Diceros bicornis minor: one gene and its partners. The protein of the gene in region 1 binds, or shares a complex with, the protein of each later gene. Links are inferred from orthologs where the notes say so. Each region holds a gene or a part of one and is shown in the gene's direction. Other genes may lie near its edges.

Region 1 (8,525 bases):
CACGCCCAGTCGAAACCCAGCGACCCGCGTCCCCTGCCGCCAGCAATAGTAGATGCCCCGGTCACTCAGCTGGGTAAAGCGGATGTGGAGATGGTTGCCATGGTCAATGAACACCCTCATGGACCTGTTGACGCCCTTCAGGTACTGTGTGCGGTAGAGGAACTGGTGGTCCTTGTCCCAGGCCACAGCATGCTCTGGCCGGGCCCCAGGACAGGAGATGATGAGTCCGTGGCCCAGCCTCTGCTGGTGGAACTGAATGGGCACCTTGGGCACCCAGGGCCGGCTGCCCACTTTGGACACATAGTTGAAGATGGCCATTATGCCCTCCCGGACCACCTTGTTCTTCTCGCAGGGCACCATACAGCTCCGAACCAGCAGCTCAGGTGTGTGGTGCCTGGCCTTGGCCTGAAGCTTACTTGGCACAGCCCGCGAACCACAGGACACCACGTCAGGCAGTGTCTTGCGGTAGCGTGGGGAGAGGTCTGGGCTCTGCAGGTAGCAGAGGCCAAGGCGCCACTGCTCCCCGCGCACCCCGCACCGGTCACAGGGGGTCCACTCCCAGAAGGTGGTGAAGACATGGAGGCTCCCATGGTACTCGTCTTCAAAGGGCTCCTGGCCCTGGTCCTTGAAAGTGGCCACCATTCCCTCACTGCTCTGGATGTCCACATCGTAAGCGTAAAAGTAGTCCCCCTTGCGGGTGCCACAGAAATACAAGCCAGAGTCCTCAGGCTGGGCCCGGAAAACCAACAGGCTGAACATGCGGATGCTGAAGCGGACCAGCATGTCACTGCCCACACGCACCTGGGCTTCCTCTGTCAGCACCCGCCCATCGAAGTCTGTCAGCACTTTGGTGTGGCCGCTACCTAGGTGCTTTTGGTAGTACCAGACGACAGCAGACACCTCCTCTGGCTTGCAGTGGCAGGGAAGCTCGAAGCTCATGTCGGCCAGGTAGGCTGCATTGTCAAACATCAGGAAAGCCGGGCAAGAGGTCCTCTGAAAAATGTTCTCCTTCTCCACAATTTCAAAGGCCTGGAGACTCCCCCACGTCCACAGGAGCACAGTGGTGTGGGCCAGGTTCATGCCTGCAGGAGGGAAGGGTCAGAGAGGGCAGGCAAAACCAGGCACTAAAGGTCTTTGGGGCTTCTAGAAATCACTGCTGGGAGGAGGCATCTATATGAGGAAAGAGTTAAATAGCCAGGAAAAGAAGTAACAATCTGTAAAGCAAGCAGCCAAAAGCAAGGCAATTTATTCCCAGCTGATATACAAGACACCCTTCTGATGTTCCAGGCATGATCTGGAGGGAAAGCCATTCTAGAACCTGGCCCTCTCTCCCCTTTCTAGAACACTGGCACTCACCCAAGAATGGGTCAGGGGAAACCGGAATGAGAAGCAAGGGCCCAGGTGCTAGGACAGGAAATCTCGGCCTCTCTGCTCCAGGCCCTGCCCTGCCTACCTAGTGGGAAGGTCTTCCCTTTGGTTAATCTGGGAGTTGAAGGAAACCCGCCGGCCTGCACATCTGGCCACCTGAAGAAGCCTGGGAAGCTGGCCAGACCTGAGCTAATGGCTTGGGGCTTTCCCAGGCCCAGCCTGCAAAGGAACTCAGCCCCTGGGGAAAAAATACTGCACCTCAAATGGGGTACCCTTTGATCATTTGTGGATTAAATGTCCATTCATTGGTTTTAAGTTATAAAGATTCTTGTTAAGAGCTATGGAGATCAGTATTTGTTTACCATGGAAGATTAATGATTTTCCTTTTTCCCGTTTTTTTGAGTGGAGGCTGTAACGGGTGTAGCCAGCATTTGGTTGGGCACACACCCATCTCTCAGGGCTGAGGGCTAGAGGCTTGGCAGACAGTAAGGGTGAGAAGCAAAACACTTTCAACTTCTTGGGCCCTTGACCATCCTGTGGATCTACACACTTCAGAATATTGAGCCACCGCAGGGCTGGAGAAGAAGGGAAGATTCGATTCCTGCTTTTGCACTGAAAATTCCAAGTTGAGAAGGGAATTAGGTGTGGGTTTCTCATTACAGTCCTGCAGAGCTCCCAAGACAACAACCAAAAAAGTCCTCCAATGAGCACTGGGGGCCTCTGAAGGTAACTGGTCCTATTAATCCATCTGGTACAGCCCTAGCAGCTCTTGGAGGAGCCTCTCCTCCTCCTGGAGCCCAGCAGGCAGCTCCTCCACACTCCACTCCCTCTGGCTGAGCCCTTCCTTCATGGGTCTGGGGGCGCCCATGGCCTGCAGCTTCTGAAACAAGCCTCTGCAGCTCTCTCTTTGCACGTGGCTCAGCAGGCTCAGGTTCAGGGTGAAGCGCCCGGTGCTGGCCAGGCTGCGCAGGATCCCCAGCACCACTGACCGGTCTGCCGGCCTCACGTGATCGGCCAGTGCCACCAGCAGCTCCCCTAGAAGTCCAAACCCCACATCCGTCTGGAAGAGGCGGGCCAGCTTTGGACCCCCGAGCTGCAGCAGGGCCTGGTAGCGCTCTGGCCCACTCCGCAAGTATCGCCGCCAATCACGGTAGAAGTCTGCCGAGGTCTCAGGCTGGAGGAGTATGTTCTGGATCACAAAGGAAGGAAAAGGAGTCCTGAGCTCTTCCAGCTGTTCCGCAACAGTGAGAGTGAGGGGAGCCTCTAGGTTTCCATCTTAGCTCTGGTACTGCTCCCTGAGCACTGGGAAGGCTGTGGTCCCTGTTTTTCAGAGGTGGTCCCTCATTTTCAGAGGAAGGAACGGGGAAGGGGACAGGGCAGGAGGGTCCCAAGGAACCCAGGCCATGATTTGAGATTCTCAGTTGTACCAGGATTTTCCTACTGATGAATGCAGACATAGCCCTGCTCTAGGAGAGTAAGTGAGGGTTTACTTGGAACAGGGCGTAGGGGATGATCAGAAACCTCAGGAAGAGAGAAAGGAACTCAAGGTGAGTGTTAAGAATCTGACAGGCTGGGTCTCCTTCCCAACACTGCCACAGAATCTTTATACTATACACCATATAACCCAGAGGCAGAGCAACCCAAATCTGATCTGGGAATGCAAGTCAAAGGACTGATGGAAGGGAGCTGCCTCGCCCACCTTTCTGACTTGTTCTGCCCAGTCTAACTCAGCCTCACCATCCACTAGTTGCTTTTCTTTCTGGGATTGGAGGCAGAAACCTGCCTCTGTTGGCTTAACATGAGAAATAAGGAAAAAGTATGTGTTGTAAGAAGACAGGATTGGAGGTTTAGGGCAGAGAATCCAGCTGGGCTGAAAGGCTGGGCCTCACCTACCTGGGAGATTTCAGTGGTCTCGTCCTGGGAAGTCCTTCCCTGAGTAGTGTGACAGTTCCAGGGCACAGTCCTCTTTCCTCCTATCTTGTCCTTCTGCTCTAGTGGCTTCAGATGTGATGCAAGGACAATACCCCTATGAGCAAAAGACACAGATCAGAGGATGGACCTAATGCTGTCTGTGTATGGGAGGTGGCTGGACTTTGCGTGATATAGGCTGAACCTGTTGGCACACCAATATGACAACAATAATAACAATACAATCATAATGTGCCGCATAATGACGTTTCATTCAACGACGGACCACGTACACAATGGTGATCCCATAAGATTAATACCATATAGCCTAGATGTGTAGTAGGCTATACCACCTAGGTTTGTGTAAGTACATTCTGTAATGCTCGCACAATGATGAAATAGCCTAATGACGCATTTCTCAAAACATATCTCCATTGTTCAGCAAAGAATGACTGTAATAACACCAGCAACAATAGTTGACAGCTTTTGAGCACTTCCCATGTGCCAGACATTGTGCTCACAATCTTACATGTAATAACTTATTTAATCATAAAAATGATTACTCTCTTTTACAGATGAGGAAATAGAGGCTCAGAGAGGTTAAATAACTTGCATAAGATCACACAGGTAGCAGAAGGCAGGGCCAGGACTGAGCCCAGAATTGTCTGACACCAAATCACATGCTCTTATCCACTACTGTTCACCATAACAGGAGGGCCTGAGAAAAACAGCATTAGGCCAACCTGAACTCCTCATAGGAAGCCACCCTCTGTTCCACTGCCCGTAACTTGGCAGCATTCTCCCGTTTGTACTTCTCATCAGCAGTGAGTGCAGCCTGCAGCTCTTTTTCTAACGCCTTGAAGTTGATGATGTCATTTCTTTCCATGGCCTGTGCAAAGGGACATCAGAGAAGGGTCAATATCAGGGGGAAGAGGGTACATATGAAGTCTTTGCCAGCCCACAAAATGATCCAAAACCACTCTGGATATCTTGTCACTTATCTTGGGGAGTGTTACAAATATCTAGTTCTCTACAGAGGGGAGCTGAGTTGCACAGTGAGGACTTGCTTAAGACTTGCTGTCACTGAAAATAGAGAGTCCTGACTTTCAGATTGGAGCCTTGCTTTAATTTTCATCTCTGCCTCTAAAAATACTTTAATTTTGATGCTTGGCTGAGGAGGTATTTGGATCTCAGAATTCAGTCCACTAACTCTTCCACATGGGTTCATTCTATAGCAAGTTGTTGTGATAGAGAACCTCACACAAAAGCAGAACTATTGCTAGCCGCTCTTGAGCCCTGGGATAAAATTTCAACCGTCTTTATCTGGGAAAGATACATTGCAACCAAACCAGATGCAATGACTAAGCAGGAAATCAAGTAGAAGTTAGGCAGAGGAAGGGGCTTAATGATCCCTGTCCCCACATCCCTCTGTCCAGCCCAGGGTTCCAGCACAAGTCCCTAGGTACTTGAGCAACCTCTTTAGTTCTGCCCCTGTACTTCTGCAGCCTGCACGTATCTGAGGCTGACTGATCCTTTCTACAGGGAGATCCTGTATATGTGTTCTAGTCTTGGCTCTGGCATTTACTTGCTGTGAGACCTCTTTGAACCTCAGATTCACGGTGCTTTGAGCTAGATTTCGTGGCGGAGTCATCATCAACGGCCCTAGGGCAGGGAGGCAGGAGGTCTGCAAGCAACCCCATAGCCCTTTCCCTCCACCCCAAAGTGGGTAAGCTGAACACCAAGAAGGGCGCTGGGCTGGCCAGGAACTGAACTCAAGTGTCCTGGCTCCTGTCCAGTTCTGAGCCCTCCCCAGTCATTGAATAAATAGAACTAACTCTTCCGACCCTCTGACCTTCACTCCACCAGCCCTGGCCTTGATTCCCTTGCTTTCTTTGAAGATCCCCAGATACGCGAGAACAGGACAGCTCAGTGTAGACCACGCCCAGCAGCTGTGGTTGCCCAGCAACTGCTCCAACAGCCTGCTCACGTGATCGACCCGAAGGCCCCCTTCAGTGTGGTCCCAAGGCGCCTGATCAGATTCAGGCCTGCTCAGCCCTCACTCTCTTGGGAGCAGCCCACTCCTTGGTTTGGGGGCCCACAACTCCACCTCGCCTGTTCCTGTGTCCGCGGCCGGCATTCTTCCGAGCTGGTCCTCAGGCAGAGGGCTGTCCTCCGAGGCAGAAACGCGACGGCGGCCTCTGCGGGGTCCTTCTGGACGGCGGGCGCACACATTGCCGCGGCGTGGGGCGGAAGCGCGGTCTCCGGTGGCAGACTTGGAGCTTTTGGCTAAGCGGTCGGGAGGTGAGCTGGCGCGGGTCAACCGCATGGGAAGTGGGATGGGAAATTAAATAATGTCCGATCTGAAAGAGACGTTATATGCTATCTGATTCTTTCAATTTACAGATGGGTAAATGGAGGCGTTCTGCGGGAAAGGGAAAGAAAGGACCCCCCCCCACACACACACGCACCCCAATTCCGCGGTTCCCTCGATATCATTCATTCGTAAAACCCCTTTCCTGGGCAGGGGTCGTGCTCTCACTGTCCAGTCCCCTCTCACTCCCTTTTCCATCTGTTCCGCCTTCACCCTTTCTCTACCAAGCTCCCTCTGTCCTTATTCTGTATTCCGTTGAGAGCCTGCGTTATAGCGGGAAGCAGCAGTGAGGTTTGGTACCGCAAGTCGTTAGTTTTATGCAACTGTGGACAAATCAGCTGTCTTCTCTGTGCCTTGTTGGAGTCATTCATGCGTTTAACACATACTAATTGAGGTCCTGTTTTGTGCTAGGCACTGTTCCAAGTGAACAAAACAAAGTCCTTCCTTAAATTGTAGTTGGGGGGATGACAGTAAACACATGAATATGTCAGCTACGGATAAATGTTATGAAGAATAATAAAACAGTGAAAGTGGGGATTGGAGAGTGTGTGTATAGGGGACTTTTTAGAGTGACAAAGGAGGTTTCTCAGAGCAGGTGACATTTTAGTAGAGACCTGAGTGAAATGAGGGAACAAGGTATAAATATCCAAGAGAAGATCATTTCCAAAGAGAATAGCAAGTGCAATGGCCCAGCAGCAGAAATGAGCTTGGCTTGTTCCATGAAGAGCCTTCTATAAAAATTTCTGCAATCACTACGTGGGAGTCTTGGGAGAATGAAATGAGCATAGATGTGATAGCTCTTTGGAAGTAAAAAGAATCTCGATGTGTATGAAAGTTTCCATTATAATTTACATTTAATTACTTGTCCTTGGAGCTCTTAATTCTCTATTTTATCTACAACCAGCACTCAACAGGTGGCATTGAGGGAAATGGAGGGATTAGCCTAGTACAAGGAATATCAGTATCTCAAAATTAAACAGTCCATTCGGTTAACATTTATCTAGTTCCTTCTTATGCATGGTGCTGTCTGGGGCATTGGCAGGTGGGCACAAGGAACTCAGCGTTCGTGAATTCAAGAATGGCCAAAAAATAATGCTAACTAATGTTTACTGAGCCTGAGATTGTATAAATTCTTTACACAGACTATTTTGTTTAATTCTCATAACCTTTTATGCAATGGGGACTATTCACTCCATTTTCCAGTTGAGGAAACAGGTTTGGAGAGATGAAGTTACATAGTTATTAGGTACATAACTTACCTGAAGTTACATAGTTATTAAGTGACAAAGTTAGGATTCAAATCTAGATCTTCCAGGTTCAGAGCCTTAACCCTTAACTCATGCTGTGGTCTGCTGTTTATTTCTTGTAAGCTCTAGAGTTGTTGGTGAGGGTATTTAGTACAGTTAACTGACATTCAAGACAGAATTAAATGCTGATAAAGGTGCAAAAGGTTATAGTGGCATAGGAGAGTGAGAAATTGCAGATCTAGGAAAGCTTGAAGGAAGTGTCATTTGAACTCTTACTTTGAATAGAATGTCAATAATTGAAGTGGAGAAAACCCATGAAATACTTATTAATTACAAAGAGAAAACAAGTAACTATAATGGAAAAGCCTGGTAGACACCACCATAATCAGGTGATTAAGTTAGCGTTACCACTAATAGGACAAATTAAAATCGTGTACCACCTGATGGGAGATGCACTGGAAAGAACACAGCATCACTTCTGGGATATTCCTGCCAAAAATGCATAACCTGAATCTCGTCATGAGGCAACATCAGACAAACTCAAATTAAGGGACATTCTACAAGCTCAGTAGCCTGTAATCTTCAAAAGTGTCAAGTCATAAAAGTCAAGGGAAGACTTGAGGAACTGTTCCAGTTTGAAAGAGACTCAAGACATGACAACTAAATGCAAATATGTGATTCTAGATTGGGTCCTTTACTGTGCAGGACATTATTGGAACAGTTCGTGAAAGTTCACTGGGAGTCTGTGGATTAGGTGGTAGTAATGTGTCAATACTAATTTTCTGATTTTGATGGTTGTATTGTGGTTCTGTAGGAGAATGTCCTTGTTTGTAGGAGTCACACGCACTAAAGCAGCAGTTGGCAAACTTTTTCTATTAAGGGCCTATATATTTACTAAAATATAGTAAATATTATAGGCTTTGTGGGCCATATGGGCTCAGTTGCAACTACTCATTTCTGCTGTGACAGTGTGAAAGCAGCCAGACAATATAAGTGGATGAGCATGGCTGGGTTCCGATAAAGCTGTTTTTATAGACACTGAAATTTGAATTACATATAATTAATTTTCATGTATCATGAAATATTATTCTTTTGATTTTTTTTCAACTTTTTTTTTTTTTTTTTTTTTTTTGGCGAGGAAGATCAGCCCTGAGCTAACATCTGCCAATCCTCCTCTTTTTGCTGGGGAAGACTGGCCCTGAGCTAACATCCGTGCCCATCTTCCTCCACTGTATATGGGACGCCGCCACAGCATGGCTTGACAAGTGGTGCATCGGTGCGCACCTGAGATCTGAACCAGTGAACCCCGGGCCGCCACAGCGGAGCGCGCGCACTTAACCGCCTGCGCCAACCGGGCCGGCCCCTTTCCGCTATTTAAAAATGTAAAAGGCATTCTTACCTTGGGGGCTGTAGGAAACAGGTGGCAGGCCAGATTTGGCTACAGGCCATAGTTTGCTAATGCCTGCATTAAAGTATTAGGGAATACATGAGGCATTGTGTCAGCAGCTTATTCTGAAATGATTTAGGAAAAAGAAAGTTATTTGAGCTATTTTCGCAACTTTCTAGTATTATTTTAAAATTAAAATTTTTTTACTATTAAAAAAAGAAGTGAGAAGAGTATGTAAACAGAG
Region 2 (7,757 bases), on another chromosome or scaffold:
ATCACTCATTTCACCATGATCACTCATCACTGCTAAACTGAAGTTTCCCAAACTATAATGAACATTATTTAAGAAATATTCATGAATTTAGTTTTCACTAATTTAAAATCAGTTTTGAAAAAGTGTTTAAATTTTACTTTTAAACTATAAACATTACCTTATTAAGTAATTAAATATAGGAACCTATTGACTTTTCTTAAGAAAACAAACTCTTTTTAAGCACTTCAGAATCACATTTACTAAGAACTGATATATTAGTTATAATTAACTTACACATATCATTACATAAAAGTTCCTTAGAGGTTCTAAGGGCCACACATTTATTGGTATAGTAGAGTTTCTCATCTACCTCCTCCTCACATGCAAGTGGGTGACATAAGGCTAGGTAATAGGAGAATTTAATGAATTAAGTTATTCCACTGTTTTTTAAAAGAATAACACTGCTAAGGAAGGGCAATGTGTCAGCATCCTTACTTGATCCATTAATTAAACACACCATGGTTTTCGTCTAATCACCAATAGAATTAGCACATTATCTAGTAAATGAGTGTTTTAAAACATAATTGCCACAGATAAAAATTGCCTTCAGATAAAAATTTCAGACTTACTCTATTAGTGGTGCTCCATAGAGAACAAAAATTATATGAAAGGAGAAACAAGACATAAGAAAATAGATACAGCATTTCAAAAATCTGGTTACCTAAAAAAGAAATGAATAATTTAAAGACTCAAGAGAATGCCTAAAGAACAGCAAATGCCTCCATTTTACCTACAAACACAACTTATTCCCATAATGTGTGATACAGTCGAATGTTCTTTGGATTTGGGTACCCTGCAGTCAGATCACATGTCCCATCAGGTACACAGCCCTCAACACAGCCTTACAAAGCAAGCATCACCCCCATATTCCACCCACCCAACCAACACTAGAGTCAAAATGCATTTGTTTCCATGGTATGTATTGAGCTATGTTGTTAATCAGTATTTATAAAATATTTACCAATAACAGAGTGCTGGGATCACATACACGTGACCACACATGAAATATTTGCAGAAAATAATGACTATAATAATTTTTTTCATTTTAAAACAAAATCCCTAGGAAAACTACACCAAAAAAAAGCACAATACTAAATAATTCTCCAAATCATGTTCATGTTACTAGATGATCCACATGAAAAGACTTACATGTTTGTAAATTAGTGTGTGGGACCTACTTGACTTGGAGATTAAGAAGATCTAATTATAAAACATGCAATAAGCTTTTTTAATCATAGGGCAGTAAACGTATTTAAAATTACCTCATAGAGGGCTTACATAGTATTGAATAATGTTAAGTGAGGACTTTATTAATTTAAAGTAATAGTCAAGTGTTACACTGTGGTGAATATTTCAGAAAACAGATTCTATTATCTGAAAACTTTACTGTTTAGTTAAGGAAGGCCATATTGAAACAAGAGCTATCATAGAGTCTTATTTTCTAATTTCTGAAAACCTCATTAAGTGTCTTTCAGAAATGCAAAAAATAAATGAAAATAAACTGAAATGTCTTATAAAATAAGGTTTAAAGTTATGACTGCTATATGTATTTATCTCCAATGATCACATAAAACTTGATTATATGGGTTCACAAAGCTATAATATCCACTTAAGACATCCTAATTTTGGGGCCAGCCACGTGGCGTAGCAGTTAGGTGCGCACGCTCCGCTGCTGGAGGCCTGGGTTCGGATCCCGGGCGCGCACCAACGCACCGCTTGTCAGGCCATGCTGTGGTGGTGTCCCACATACAGTGGAGGAAGATGGGCACAGATGTTAGCCCAGGGCCAGTCTTCCTCAGCAAAAAGGAGGAGGATTGGCATGGATGTTAGCTCAGGGCTGATCTCCCTCACACAAAAAAAAAAAGACATCCTAATTTCACAACTAATGCACGGCAAGGATCTATTAAACATTGTGAGCAGCATTCCAACAAATAGGCTACTGATTTGACAAAGAAATCAGGTTCTCTTTACTCACTGTAAATAACCCAATGAGTACTTGACTAATACTTTATTCTTCCATTAAAAGAAACGCTACCTCCATCTAAAAATCAGTTATCAAGAAATAAGCCTTACCTTGTATGATAATGAACTTCTTCTAGAGGACGCATTTGGTTTCACCACTAAATATAATACTAGATTGACAGCAGTTACACAAACAGAACAGATGCACAACCATGTCAAGTGTGTTTCCAATATTGAGAAGTTCTCCAAGAACAATGATGGAATGAAGATGCTTAGGATAATTGAAAATATGCATAAAAGATGGGTATACAGTAGTCTCTTGATATCAGTATCTTTCATGGTGTTTTCTTGAGTGGCTATCTAATGAAAAACAAATTAAGAAAAAAGCATATGCAATAACTTTTTCCATCATCCTAAATGCTCTAACGCCTAAAAATAAGCCTTGAACCAAAGTCAATTTTCTACGGGCAACAAGGTATTGCTTTCACAATAAGATGCATATGCGTAAATGCACATGTAGACTAATATGGTACAAATAGCTCTCAGAGCCTAAAAAAGACAAATTTACTAAGTTCTTAAATATTTGCGACTGATTTCTGCAACAGAGTCATGTGCTAGGACCAATTAAGCAATTCAATTTCTTTTTTTTTTTTTTTTTTTGCCAAAATAACAGAGGTGAAAACTAACTGCATGGATTAATGACCTCCCCCAGCTGGAAATATAACCTATGCATTCTAAAAATCCCATGAATACACTTTGGCTAAATTGTTGGCATGTTTGTTTTTTTCACCATTGTAGACCTTTGTCTCACATGACAGGAGTTCACATCTTCTAGCAAATGCCAAGTGACACCAACTGCAAACTCAAATACTCAAATGACGGCCGGTGTAATCAAGAGAGTTCAAAGAACATTATGCTAAACTAAGGGACCCCAGTGCTCCAGAAATACCAAAATGACAGTGTCTGTTACAGGTGCTATACTCCAATCAAATGTAGAGCAAGAATGGGGGCCGGCCTGGTGGCACAGTGGCTAAGTTCCAGAACTCCGCTTCAGTGGCCCAAGGTTCACGGCCCGGACTTATGCACTGCTGGAGGAAGATGGGCGCAGATGTTAGCCCAGGGCTAATCCTCCTCACCAAAAAAAAAAAGGAGCAAGAATGGAAAAAGAGAAAAAAATGTACTTTCTCTCTATACATAAAACACGTATTTTCTATATATATTTAATTATTCATTACCTAACAGACAGCTTATACATAGTGTTGAATAATGTTAAGGACCTTATTAATTTAAAGTAATAGTTCACATTCTGGTGAACACGCTAGGGAAAAAAACATATATTTTATACACACACACAGAGGGGGCGCCCACTAGCGCAAAAAGGCAAGTCCAGGCCTTATTCTAACAGATCTCATTTAATTCACACTACAATCTTCAAAGGCAAATATTTTACTGATAAGGAAACAGGCTAAGACAGGTTAGGAGACAAGTCAAGGTCCCAAGCTCCCGAGTGCCAAATCCATTTCAAAACCTAGTCTCTCTGACAAAAGATACACACTAGGGGTCGAGAAGAGAATGAATAGCAAGGGAGAAAGGAAAAGTTTCTCACAGGTCCTATCCTTGGCTGATTGAGGGGTGGGAAGGGGGATCCGGAAGACATTGTCTCAACAGACACCCCTTAGGACGTTTTTCTGGGCCACGCTCCGAATCCCAATTGACATCAGAGGATTTGGATCTAATACAGTGAGCAGTACCCAAACTCAAATGCTTGCCGAATGAATGAACGAACGAACGGAGAGGGGGTCAAGTGTTTGCCCTTCCTGAGAAGCCAGCACTGTGTTAGGCCCTGGCGAGCCCACGGGGACGCCCCGGAGGCGGCCTCAGTCCCGGCGTCCGCGTTCTGACCTGGCCCGGGTCCACAGGCATTGTGGCGGGAGAAGAGGCCCTCTGAGCTGCTCCCAGGGGAGCCTTCGCGGGAATCGCGGGACCTTTATCTGCAGCCCCACCTCAAACTGTGTAGCTCGGGACTCTACCCAAGCCTCAGCCGGCAGGAGTGTGGACAGCAGGGGACGAGCTGAGAGGCATAATCAAAGAGAACGGGCATGGAGCCCAGGAGAAACGGAGGGACAGACACAGAAGGTCAAATCCCAAAGACGGCCGGTCCATCAGGGCAGCCCCTGGGGCACGCCGGAAGAGTGGCGCTCGAGCGCCCGGGGGCGCGGGCGGAACGGGGCAGAGGCTCGGGGCCACTAGGACAGTTGGCGGGGGCTGCTTTCACCCCCGGGAAGCTCGCGAGCCGCGAGCCTTAGACTGGGCTTACCTAACTCGCCCACCTGCGGAAGAGAAGCGAGACCTACTACCTCCCACCATCAGGTGCGACTCGCCGCCCTGACCTTCGCGCAGGCGCAGGCCTGTGGGGCGGGGAGACCCAAGGCCGCACAGCCAATCGCAGAAGTGGAGGGGCGGGCAAAGGAAGCAGCCCCGCCTTCCGCCCGCGTTTATTCCTCCCGCGGCTTTCCAGGCGTAGGATAGGCGGGGCGGAGGGCGGGGGATCCGGAAGTGGGTTGCCGTAACCCGGAAGGGGAATTCTTCCCTGGCAGTGCTGTTGATGTTTTCAACCCGCTGCTCGTTCTGCGGCTAAGGGAACCGTCGCGGAAGGATGGTGTGCGAAAAATGTGAGTTAAGGGGTGGCTTCTGCGGGAGAAGGAGGCTGGAAGAACCTAACTGGAGTTCCCCGGGAACTTGGCCCTTTCTTTGTTTTGCCAGCGGCCACAGCACTCTGATTCTAGCCTGTCTTCCTACTCTGCCGTTTGACCATTCTTGCCCCTCCCCAACGACCATATAGGTTGGTCTCAGTTTGCACCTCTTGGTCTATTTCCGTTGCTTTCCAGCAACCCCAGATCTCATCCCAAACAGCTTCTGACTGGCTCTCTTGCCTCACAGACCCTCAGGTGGGAATGGGTCTTAAAATTGACTTCTACAGCATCTACAGATTTAGCAAAAAAATACCAGACGCCCAGTTAAATTTGGGTTTCAAGTAAACAACGAATAATCTTTAGTATAAATGTGTCCCGTACAATATTTGAGACTTGGCTCTGCTGCTCCTTAGTACTGCAAGTGCTTTGTCCCCGAGGACTTTTAGGACATTCTTTACAGAAAAAAGTATTCATTTTTTTTATCTGAAATTTAAAGTTAACTGAGCATCTGTATTTTATCTAACAATCGTAAGTCAGTATTCCATACATTGGCTTAATTGTCCTCTGCATGAATATCTACAGTATTGAGGCTGGGGCCAGGAGAGTCTCACCACCTTGAAATGAGTCTGTGTATACTTCACTGACTTTTAGAAAAGTCTTTCCTCCCTATAGTTGCTGTCCAGTGATTCTAATGCCAACCCTTGAGATTTCTAGAAAATATCTGATGATTTTTTTTACCTCACAAACCGTTTATATGTTAAAAACAGCTGTCATATCCCCAAGTCTCTTTTTCCTCACACTAGACATATCTGGCTCTTCTGTCACAAGGTTTCAAGAACTCTTGTCCTCATTGCTGTCTCATTAACATGATCCAGTTACTGTCTAACATGATCCATTTTGTTTATATCTCCCTAGTAGATAAAACTTTGAGCACAGACATCCATGAGTTTGCATAACAGTTCTTATATTAGGTAAAAGGATGACCATGGTCAGATTACTTTAATAAATTCTCAGTGTGCAGAGAATAATTTGGGGTTTCTGTATTTGGAGCCTGGCATTCAAGATGACCCTCCACCATAAGGCCTCAGCTTATCTTTCCAACTTAATTGTCACTAACTATTACCCTCTTCACACTTTGGCCAAACCAAACTATTTTGCATGCCCTTGTGTATTCTGAGCTTTCCCTGCCTTTCCTCAGGCTGTGTCCTTTATCTAGTTTGCCTTCATCCTCTTTCCTCCTCTTTCTTCACAGTCACATTGCCACAAACCCTCTCAGTTGCCTTCCGCACAAAGTTTTCCTGGATTTCCCTAGACAAGGTTATTTCTTCGTCCGTGGAATTTCTCCTAGTACTTTAGCTCTCAATTTATTTTAGCTCTCAATTATTATACTTTTTATTTTCTAGCTTGTATTTTAGTTGAATGGTTCTTAACTTTTTTTTGGTTCTCTGAGCCCTTTGAGAATCTGATGAAAGCTAGAGAAGCTGATGAAAGCTATAGACTCTTACCAGAGTCTGTAAAAGAAATGGACATACAAAAGGTTTGTGTGCAGTTTCATCTTGTTCATGTACCTCTTAAGGACTACTGTTAGAGAAATCAGTGTACTATAAGCTCCTTGAAATCTAGAGCTTCATCTCATTTATCATTTTATTTTTCTCTGTAGTTTGTGCAATGATTTATAGATCATAGGTGCTTAGTAAATATTTATGAAATGAATAGATTTGTCAGATTTATATAAAGTATACATGTACATAAGAAGCCTATTATAAACCATACTATTATCCTACAGATTTTACTGAGAGTCCGTCATCCATTGCCCACAGTTAATATCTTAAGTCTTGGTTCATTGGCCCTGACCCCAGCATTAACAGGCTTCTACTATAATATGATTGCTGATACAATTGTGAACTTTAGGCACAATGTAATGTATTTATTAGATAGTAAATACTAATTCCCCTTACTTTTACTGTCTTGTAACAGGTGAAAAGAAACTGGGTACTGTTATCACTCCAGATACATGGAAAGATGGTGCAAGGAATACCACAGGTATTTTTTCCTTTTAGAACATAGAAATTGAGTTGAATACTTCTTGTGAATAATGTTTTAGTTTTTACATCATTTGGAAAATGAAATGTTTTTATATGTAGAAAATATTTCATGTATTAAACATTAAGAATACTGGATCCCGCAACAATTTAATATCTTCTATTTAGTTCTCTCAGTTACATATTGGGGTTCCTAATTTGGTAAATAGGACATAGCAAAATAATTAAATGATTTTCAAGCCTTGAGTATATCAAAGTAATTGATTTGATTCAACTTAATTGGAGTTGGTATTTAATTCCCCCTCTTCTCACCTGATTTTTGTATTCTTGAAGAAATCATTTAAATATTTTCACCTTCATAATCATTCAGTACAATGAAGATGTTTTCAAAGGGAAGGAAAAGAAACACTTTTTCAAGGTCTATGGCACCAAAGTAATGGCATCTAGATTTTACATTAGTGCATTAAATGTAGACCCACTCCTAAAGTCCTACTTTGAGTCTAAGAAGTAAAATGATTGCATTTTATCCAATTTTTTATTGTTTCCCCAATAAACAGTTGTTTTCTTTTCAAGTAGTGTCTTAAGAACCTGGCTATTAACTGAGGAATTTTGAAAATTTTCGTATAGGTTGGTCTGTTGGTAGGAGGTTGAAAAATGAACTTATTAACTAATTGTTAAATGCTATATGATTATGTTATGTGTGAAATGTGTGGAAATGACCCACTAAAATACGTGTATATTTTGTTATAGAGAGTGGTGGAAGAAAGCTGAACGAAAATAAAGCTTTGACCTCAAAAAAAGCAAGGTAGGTATAGGAGCACCTATAGAGCAGTCATATAAATTTCCACTCTTTTTAATATTGCGTGTACTGGGGTGAATTTGGTGTGCGTTATTCTGTGGTGATAAAGCATAGAATTAGATAGTTCCTGGTCTGCAAAACCAAGCTATCTGTTATAACCTGCTAGTTTTACCCTATTCCTCTTTACTGTATCAATATATGAAAGTATGTGTTACGTTCTTT
Region 3 (8,446 bases), on another chromosome or scaffold:
AAGGGGGACAGAAGCTCATAAGCCAGTGCAAGTTCTGTTCTAAGAAGAGTACTTTCAAAGTCACACATATGACCTAAGGGGCATATACTGCATTCTGCCTAAAAGGAGGAAGTGTCTCTGTTAGTTTTCTCATTTCCTCACATGCCCTAGCCCTGAATTTGCAGCTTCCAAATTAAGCACTTTTTAAGCACTTTTCACGCTACCCTCACATCTAATTCCATGGTGAGAATTTTTTAACTTTTTCAAATTAAAAAAGTTCCATTGGTGCTGGTGCCCCATGCAAAGCAGAAACTAAGGACCTAATCAGAAGAGAGGCTGAATACAGCATAGTTATCTGAAACCAGAATGTTTTAAACTGAAATCCGTGTTTTACTCAGTTTTTTAAAAACTAATGTTTAGGTAGGGAAAAAACAAAACCCACACAACATCCTACTATTCCACTGAGTAGCATTCACTTATTGGTTTCTGCAAAGACTATTAACTGAAATATCATTCGATGATACTATTGAAATACTTTGTGCTGCAGTTAATCCATTTCAACTATCCAAAGGCTACAGAAAACAAGGTTCACAGCACTTCTCAAATCTCAACGATTTAACTCCTTCCTCCTTCCCTGCTGCGCCCTCCTCTCTCGGAAAACACCGTACCTGCTCGGTTTTCAGAACTTAACATTGAGGGGTGGGGGAGGGGAAGGTTGGGGGTGTGGGGGTGGGAGAGTTCTCTAATTTTTGGACTTGCTATCCCATTCTGCCTGAGTAAAACAAACCCCTGTAGTAAAAGAACCTTATGAATAGTGATGAAAATCGAGGACCAATTTCCTTCTGCTCGCTTCTCTCTATCTCTATAAACTTCACTACGGCCCTCAATACACCCATTTCTACGCCAGAGCAGCCCTACCTGTGCCCAGACGCCCCCTGCCCAACTCGAACTGCTCTATGAGCTTGGAGCCGGGCCACTGCTCCCCTCCCAGGCTAAAGACTGAGGAACCAAGATGCCCATCTCCCGCCGCGCAGACTGCAGAGGCCTGAGGGTTCAGGCCGGGTCAGCGAGGGGCGGCGGGGGCAGGGGAGCAAGCCGCAGGGACGGCAGCTCCGCGCCGGCTGGTGGGGCTGGCTCCGGGGAGACGCCGGGAGAGAGGGACGCCGGGGGCGGGGACAAGGCCCGGGCTACCTGCGGGCCGCCGCCCTCACCGCCCCAGTAGTCGCAACGGCTGCAAGCGACCGCCGCGCTCTGTGAACCCTCGCGGCCGCCTAGGGAGCCCCGGCCTGCGCCTGTCCGCGGTCACGGCCCCTTCACTACCTCTGACCGCCCGGCAAGTAGCAGCAGGTGATGCGACGACTGGGCAGCCGAGACGCGCAGGCTGGTCGCCTCCCACCCCTCCCAGGGGCGCCAGGAGCCCGGACCAAAGAAGTGGGAAGAGGCGTGCGAGACAACGCGACACAGAAGGGGGACAGGGAGGGGGAGAACCCTCCGGCTCTCCGGAGGGGCTGGAGAAAGGGAGGCGAGGACGCAGGCGGCGCGACAGCACGCGGTGGGGACGGTCGGGACGCTCGCGTACCTTCCTCACTCCCGGCTGAGGGTCCAACGCGAGCCAGCAGATCGCCTCACATCCGGGTATCAAGAGACACTCAGCCGCTTCTGCCGCGACCGCCGCCTCTCCCGCGGCGCAGAAACGCCGAACTTCCGGCGACGACGGCGACGCCTCGCCGGTCAGATGGGAGTTACCTGCGACCGTCTTGGGCGCGCTTGCGCAACGTTCCTCTTCAGCCCTAACCGGCTCAGCTGACGTACCCAGAAGACGAAGATGGCCGCCACGCTCGCTGCGTGTCACTCCGTTTTTCACCCCGGCCGGGACGGCTGGGCGTCGGGGAACAGGGAGCCTGCGTCCATCCTCGGCGCAGGCGCGGTGGGAGGCCTCGCGTGCGCTCACCGCGGGTGGGCTGCTCGCGGGGAAGCGGCGGCGCCCCCTGGCGGCGGCCTCTTGCTCTTCCCGCGGTCGTCTCATGGAATAATAACACCCACGCCCCCAGCGGTGGTGGTTTGTCGTGGAAATTCGTCGCCCCCGCTTCTTCTGTTGGTTGCGGGTACTGCTCTTCTGCGACCTCTAGGTTACATACCTTTAATCTTCGACATGGACCAATGTAACGAAAAAAGGAGATAACTGACCCTCTCTCTCCTTCCGCGGCACTGCACTCCCTCGCTTCCAAAAAATGCAGGACTTCACCGTCTCCGTGCACACTTTCCTCCTTGTGCACCAAAGCACAAGCGTCGACAAGAACTTGTATAATGTTCCACTAGATTTAGTCATGGCCGGTATTCAGATAAAGCTTTGGCTCTTCGAAGCCTCTAAAGATAGAATCCAGCGTTCTGTCACTAGGATCGTGGTTGCCACACTGCTTTTGAACGCTTTCTGTGCTACTCCTTCCTTTTTTGCAGATATATGAGGATGGATAAACGCTACTCTTGCCTTTGAGAATCTAAAGAGAGGTGATCATAGGTAGGTTCTTCCCTTCCTGACCTCTTTTTTTGAAGCCAGGTACAACCAAAATGTGCTCTGAGAAGCCTGATGTTTTTCTGACATTTTCCACAAAACTTTATTGAACTGCTTGTTACTTTAGTCTGGGGAGATTCCATGGTTTAAAAAACAAAATAGGTGAGGCCATTACCCACATCACCGTAGGTTGTGTTGCTTAGCAAAAGCCTGTCTACTGCCTCCCCCACCTCTAGTTCCTAATATAGGTATATTCTTTTTTTTTTTTTTTTTTTTCTGTGAGGAAGATCAGCCCTGAGCTAACATCCATGCTAATCCTGCTCTTTTTGCTGAGGAAGACCAGCTCTGAGCTAACATCTATTGCCAATCCTCCTCCTTTTTTTTTTTCCCTCCAAAGCCCCAGTAGAGAGTTGTATGTCATAGTTGCACATCCTTCTAGTTGCTGTATGTGGGATGCGGCCTCAGCATGGCGGGAGAAGCGGTCCGTCCGTACACTCCCGGGATCCCAACCCAGGCTGCCAGTAGCGGAGCGCGTGTACTTAACAGCTAAGCCACGCGGTATATTATATATATATAAGCCCTATAGGTATATTCTTTAATGACATATGCCAAATGTCTTAAATTGGGAAAAAAGTCAGGAGTAGACTGCTGACCTGATTGAAGCTGGTTATCTACCAGAGCATCGGACTTATATCTTCTTTCACCTTTAGATTGTCAGACAACTGGTGTAATTTCTTTCCATGTGTAAACCACTTTATCTTCAGTAACTTAAATTCTGGCATACACACACACAAACCATATTTACAAGTTTCCATTCCCACAAAATAGGCCTCTGCTTCTGAGTGATCTGTTCCCCTATATTTGTTTTGTGGCCACGATCCAGAGCATAGCAATCCTTACAAGTCTCACACCATATTAAATATATATAATAAATATAAAATATATATAAAACATAAATATAATTATTTATTTAATTTTAATTTAAATTGGCACATTTAGGCATTGTTTTTAATCCAGGGGCTCATTAATATCATCATGAGTTTTTTTTTTTTTAAAAGTCTCTCCTAAGACTGGTTTTTCTCTTGGTTCTAGGTGAGTTCCCAAACTGCAGAGGCTACTACCTCTCCATTCACATCCAAAAGGGAAGAGTATTCCCTGCGAAGGTCTGATTGGATCAGCTTACATCCCAAGCCCACTGTGGACAAGTAGTGGAATGTAATGAGTGACAGTTAAGGGTAGAGTCAGCTTCCTTAGGACCACATGGATCACCAGGACACTATTAGGAACTGTTGGGAAGAGAAGAGGATACATATTGAGAAGACAACGCACAAATGTCAATTACAGTCTTGCTACCCAAATTGTGGTCCATGGACTCGGGGCATCTTCATCAACTAAAGTCTTGTTAGAAATGCAGAATTTCGGACCCCACACCAACTGAATCAGAATTTTCATTCTAAAGTTTCCTCCAGGTGATTCCTATGCATATTAAAATATGATGAGCATTGCCTTACAATACCCAAGACTTCTGATGATCAGAGGTGAAGTCCAGGCTGGAGATACAAATTAAAGCTGTGGTTTTGGAGATCACCTAGGCTAAAGACCAAAGTATCCATAAGGAGACTACACCCAGGGAAAGCCCCAAAGCACTCCAACATGTGATGGCTCAGTAGAGGATGAGGCAGCTAAGGAGACCTAGAAAGAGTAGCTAGTAGGATAAGAATAAAACCAGGTGTGCTTGGCGTCCTGGAAGCCAAGAGAGGAGGGTGTTCAAAAGGGGAGTGTTTGTGTTGAATGCTTCTGAGATATTGAGTAAGATGAAGATAGATGTTTGTCTTGGAGGTTTTGATAACTATTAGACAAGCAATTTCAGTGTAGTTTGAAGACTGAATTGGAGATGATAAAATAAGTGTAGACAGCTCATTCAAGAACTTTTTCTGTGATCGAAGTCTGGCAGTAGCTGGAGCTGCAGCAAAGGAGAACTTTGTTTTGTTTCTAAGATAAATTTGTTTGCTGATGGAAAAAATTCAGTAGAGAAGGAGAAATTGATGATTCAAGTTAGAAGGGGATAACTGAAGGAGTAAAATTCTTGAGAAAATGAGAGATGGGATCCAGGCTATAATGAAAAAGAATTTACCTTTGAAAGAAGCAACAATGCTTCCACCCTTGCGATAGGAAAGAAAGCAGAAGGATGGCTTCTGTTTTCTTAAAAAAGTATGAAACATTAGCAGAGAGTGATTTGGGAGATGGCCTGTAAAAGGTTTCAGAAGGAGGAAAGAAAGAAGATATGAACTAATTTGTGAGATTATTATAGAAGCATAACACAGTCTCTGAGTAGTACCTCTTTGAGGTTTGTGGTCAGAATTTAAGGTAAAAATAATCAGCTAAATCGTGTGATTTTCTTCAGGTACATTAAGTAATGCTGAGGTTCCCGGTGTTGGAGCAGAATTAGCATAATCCTTTGGGCTTCTCTCAGAATTTCCCTTCGTTCAGGGATATATTTAGTGCTGCATAACACATGGCGCCCTGTAGTGGCGAAGTGCGACGGCGACAGGCCTACTAATTGGATTTAATCTCCTCAAATCTCCCTCTTGCGGGAAATTTCCTTTTAGACTAGTCCTAACGCCCTCAGCAGTCGCAAGGTACACCTCCAGCCGCCAGAGTGCGCTGTGGCGACCCTCGCGCCGGAAGTGAGTGCGGCCCAGCCGGCCTCGGCGTTTCCGCCGTGCGTAAGCAGTGCTCAGCGCGCTCTTTGCGTCGGAGCCCCGGCAGTAGGCGTTTCCGGCCATTCATACTCCCAGTCCGTTGGCGCTTGGTTGTGGCCTTGCGTGCACTCTCGGATCGAAAGGGCGACGGCGCCGCTAGCATGAAGCTTGTGAGGTGAGGAGGTGACCAAGCGGGATGGGAGCTGTGAACGGACGGTTTGGGCCGGGAGCCGGGCTGCCCCAGTTCCGGGAGGCGCGAAAGCCGCGTGCGCGCGCGGCCTGCTGACGGCCTCCGGCGCCCGCCGCTCCCGCCCCATCTAGGCCGCGGGCGCTCGCGCGTGGGTTTCGGACTGAATCGCGCGGGGATCCCGCGTGTCTTCCAAGAAGTAGACGTAAGGCCGAGACGTTTCTTCTCACCTAGTGTCTTAGAGGCCTTGAAGGTGCAGCGCCAGGCTTACAAACTCGTAGTTTCGGTTCCTTACCGATTTTTATATCGAGTACAACTCGTGTTCTAGTCTAGGTTACTTTTCTGGCTCCTTTCAGCTCCCAGAACCGGCAAATATAGCTATGTCCACGCTCCCTGAGAACGTGGGAGACAAAGAAAAGGAAAATTATATGCTCCTGCGAAAGTAGTTTAAGTTGATCCGCTTTTCGTGATGAAACTTACGTCGCCCTTAAAAAGAGTACTTAGAAGTTGCGGGAGTTTATCTGGAAATACCGAAACCCATTTCCGAAATGTTTTAAAATCGGGGTTGGACTTCTGACTTCATAAGTTGGTCTTTTTCCAGCTTTATTGAGATATACTGGAATTTTTTTCAGAAGGTAGAGCCCCTGCCTTGTTGGAACTTTATGTTTTGTGATGAAGACAGACAAGTAGATAGTTTCTAGTATGTTTGAAATAACATATAAAACCGTCAATATTTTATTCAGGGTGGACTTTGTAGAGAAGGCATTTAAGGTTAATTTTTAGTCCATTTTTGTTTGAGCTAGAACTTTTGGAGAAAAAGTCTCAGAATTTAAAGTACATTTTCTCGATACCTGCCAGTTTGAATGTGTTTATAGTTTCATATATTTATAATTTGATATATTTTGAATCATGCAGTATGCCTGCTTTTTGTGTAAAATTTCTTTTACTCAGCATATTTTTTTTGAGATTCGTCCACATTGTGACGTGTATCGCTAATTTATTCCTTTTTATTAGTGAATAGTAGTCCATTGTGCATTTAAGAGTTACGTATGTTGTGTAAAACTGTTTTGAACATTCTTGTGTAAGTTTTGTGTTTTTTTCCTTCATTTCTCTTGGGTAAATACTTAGGAGTGGAGTTGCTGGATCACAGCATAGGTAATCGTTTAGTTTCATGAGAAACTACCAGACCATTTTCCAAGGCGGTACCATTTTACACTCCCGCCAGCAGTGTATTAGAATTCCACTTGCTCCACATCGTCACCAGCATTTGTTGTCATCAATCTGTTTAGCCATTTTAGTCCTTGTATAGTGGTGTCTCATGGTGTTAATTAACAGTTTTCTAATGATTAATGATATTGAGCACTTTTTCACCTGCTTATTGGCCATTTGTATGTCTTTGTGAAGTGTCTTGTTTTGTGTTGTTTCTTTTTATTGTTGAGTTGTAGGAATTCTTTATGTATCCTCTGTCAGATATAATTTCTCTCAGTTTGTGGTTTGTTTGCTCATTTCCTTAGTAGGTAATGTCTTTTGGTGAGCAAAAGTTTATTTTGAGGAAGTCTTGATTTACCAGCTTTTGGTTTTATGGTTCTTACTCTCTATGTACTGCCAAAGAAACCTTTGCCTACTCTCAAACCGTGAAGATTTCTCCTGTTTTTCTCTAAAAGCTTTATAATTTTAACTTTTATGTTTAGGTGTGATCCATCTTGAGTTAATTTTGGTAAGTGGTGTGAGTTAGAGGTCCAGGTTCATTTTTTCTATATGAATTTTTAATTATTCCATGTTGTTATGGATTTCATCATTTGTTGAACAGGCTTTCCTTTGCCTGTTGGACTGCTTTGGCACTTTTGTAGAAAATCAACTAAATAAATGTAGATTTATTTCCGGACTCTATTTTGTTTCGTTGATCTATTTGTTGTTCCTGTGTCTTGGTTACTATAACTTTAACCTATATACTACTCTAGCCATCTAATTTGTCTTCCTAGAGATTGTCCTAGAGATAGAAGGTTGGTAACAATTAGTATTGATAAGGATTTGCATAATGGATTTGTAATAGCAAAATATATATATGTGGCCATGGAAATATCTTCAGTATAAACTGCTAAATGAGAGTACAAGTCATAGAAGTCGTTAAAGTATGGTCCAATTTATGTAAAAACAAAGTTTATGCATATGCTTATAAACGCATGTAAAAATGTAGTAGAAGAATAGCCCTGCATACAAAGAGGGAGTTAAAAAGGGAGACTTTTACTTTTCTGTATTTAGACATGTACAATAAGTGTGTAATCTTTTACTACCAATTATAATTTCCTGATTTCAATTTTGTGGCTTATAATAACTTTAAGATCTGTATGTCTGGATTGAAGGTTAAGCTATATAATGGTTTTTGTTAGTGCCATCAAGTCAATCCCGACTCCTAGTGACCCTGTATATACAGTGAAGTGGAACCCTGTTCCATCTTGTTACGCCATCCTCTCACCTTCCGGCGCTATATCGGGCAATGCTCCACTGCTATTGGTAGGGTTTTCATGGCCACTTTTTGGAAAGTGGGTGGCCGGGTCTTTCTTCCTAGTCAGTCTTAGTCTGGAAGCTACACTGAAACCTGTCCACCACGAGTGACCCTACTGATACTTGAAATACTTGTAGCGTAGCTTTCAGCATCACAGCAGCACGCAGGCGCCACAGTATGACAACTGACTGACAGATGGTGTAGTTCTCCAGCCAGCAAACAAACCCAGGCCATGGCAGTGAGAGCACTGAATCTTAAACGCTAGACTACCAGTATAATGGTTTAGAGAATCAGAAATATCCAAATGGCAGTTTCTCTTATTATTATGCTCCTTCATAAATGTTGAGGGTATAATTCAGGGAAAGCTGAAATTGTTATGCAGATTATTAATAAGAATTGTTACAGATAACATCTCTAGCAGATTTTCAACAGCTGGAAATTTCACCCTTTTGACTTAAAACATGATTTTAAAGTGTTAAAAGTGAAAATTTATCATTTTATTCCTAGCAGATTTTCAACAGCTGGAAATTTCACCCTTTTGACTTAATAAACATGATTTT

The links.
Region 2: EFTUD2 (region 1) and CRIPT share a complex: the UniProt entries of both Homo sapiens proteins name them as parts of the minor spliceosome. The link is inferred for Diceros bicornis minor from reciprocal best matches to the Homo sapiens genes EFTUD2 and CRIPT.
Region 3: EFTUD2 (region 1) and SNRPD1 share a complex: the UniProt entries of both Homo sapiens proteins name them as parts of the minor spliceosome. The link is inferred for Diceros bicornis minor from reciprocal best matches to the Homo sapiens genes EFTUD2 and SNRPD1.

Annotation. Positions count from the first base shown.
Region 1 is NC_080757.1:43,343,709-43,352,233, reverse strand, and holds the start of EFTUD2 (116 kDa U5 small nuclear ribonucleoprotein component), read left to right. Parts: upstream 1-5,377; 5' UTR 5,378-5,577; intron 5,578-8,525. Other genes in the region: Ig-like V-type domain-containing protein FAM187A, read right to left, coding at 1-1,080; CCDC103 (coiled-coil domain-containing protein 103), read right to left, coding at 2,108-2,557, 3,262-3,394, 4,020-4,162. UniProt on the Homo sapiens protein: Required for pre-mRNA splicing as component of the spliceosome, including pre-catalytic, catalytic and post-catalytic spliceosomal complexes. Component of the U5 snRNP and the U4/U6-U5 tri-snRNP complex, a building block of the spliceosome.
Region 2 is NC_080751.1:38,647,241-38,654,997, reverse strand, and holds the start of CRIPT (cysteine-rich PDZ-binding protein), read left to right. Parts: upstream 1-4,570; 5' UTR 4,571-4,657; coding exon 4,658-4,673; intron 4,674-6,671; coding exon 6,672-6,737; intron 6,738-7,486; coding exon 7,487-7,541; intron 7,542-7,757. Other genes in the region: PIGF (phosphatidylinositol-glycan biosynthesis class F protein), read right to left, coding at 609-700, 2,113-2,361, 3,904-3,924. UniProt on the Homo sapiens protein: As a component of the minor spliceosome, involved in the splicing of U12-type introns in pre-mRNAs. Involved in the cytoskeletal anchoring of DLG4 in excitatory synapses.
Region 3 is NC_080755.1:13,552,312-13,560,757, reverse strand, and holds the start of SNRPD1 (small nuclear ribonucleoprotein Sm D1), read left to right. Parts: upstream 1-5,259; 5' UTR 5,260-5,354; coding exon 5,355-5,368; intron 5,369-8,446. UniProt on the Homo sapiens protein: Plays a role in pre-mRNA splicing as a core component of the spliceosomal U1, U2, U4 and U5 small nuclear ribonucleoproteins (snRNPs), the building blocks of the spliceosome.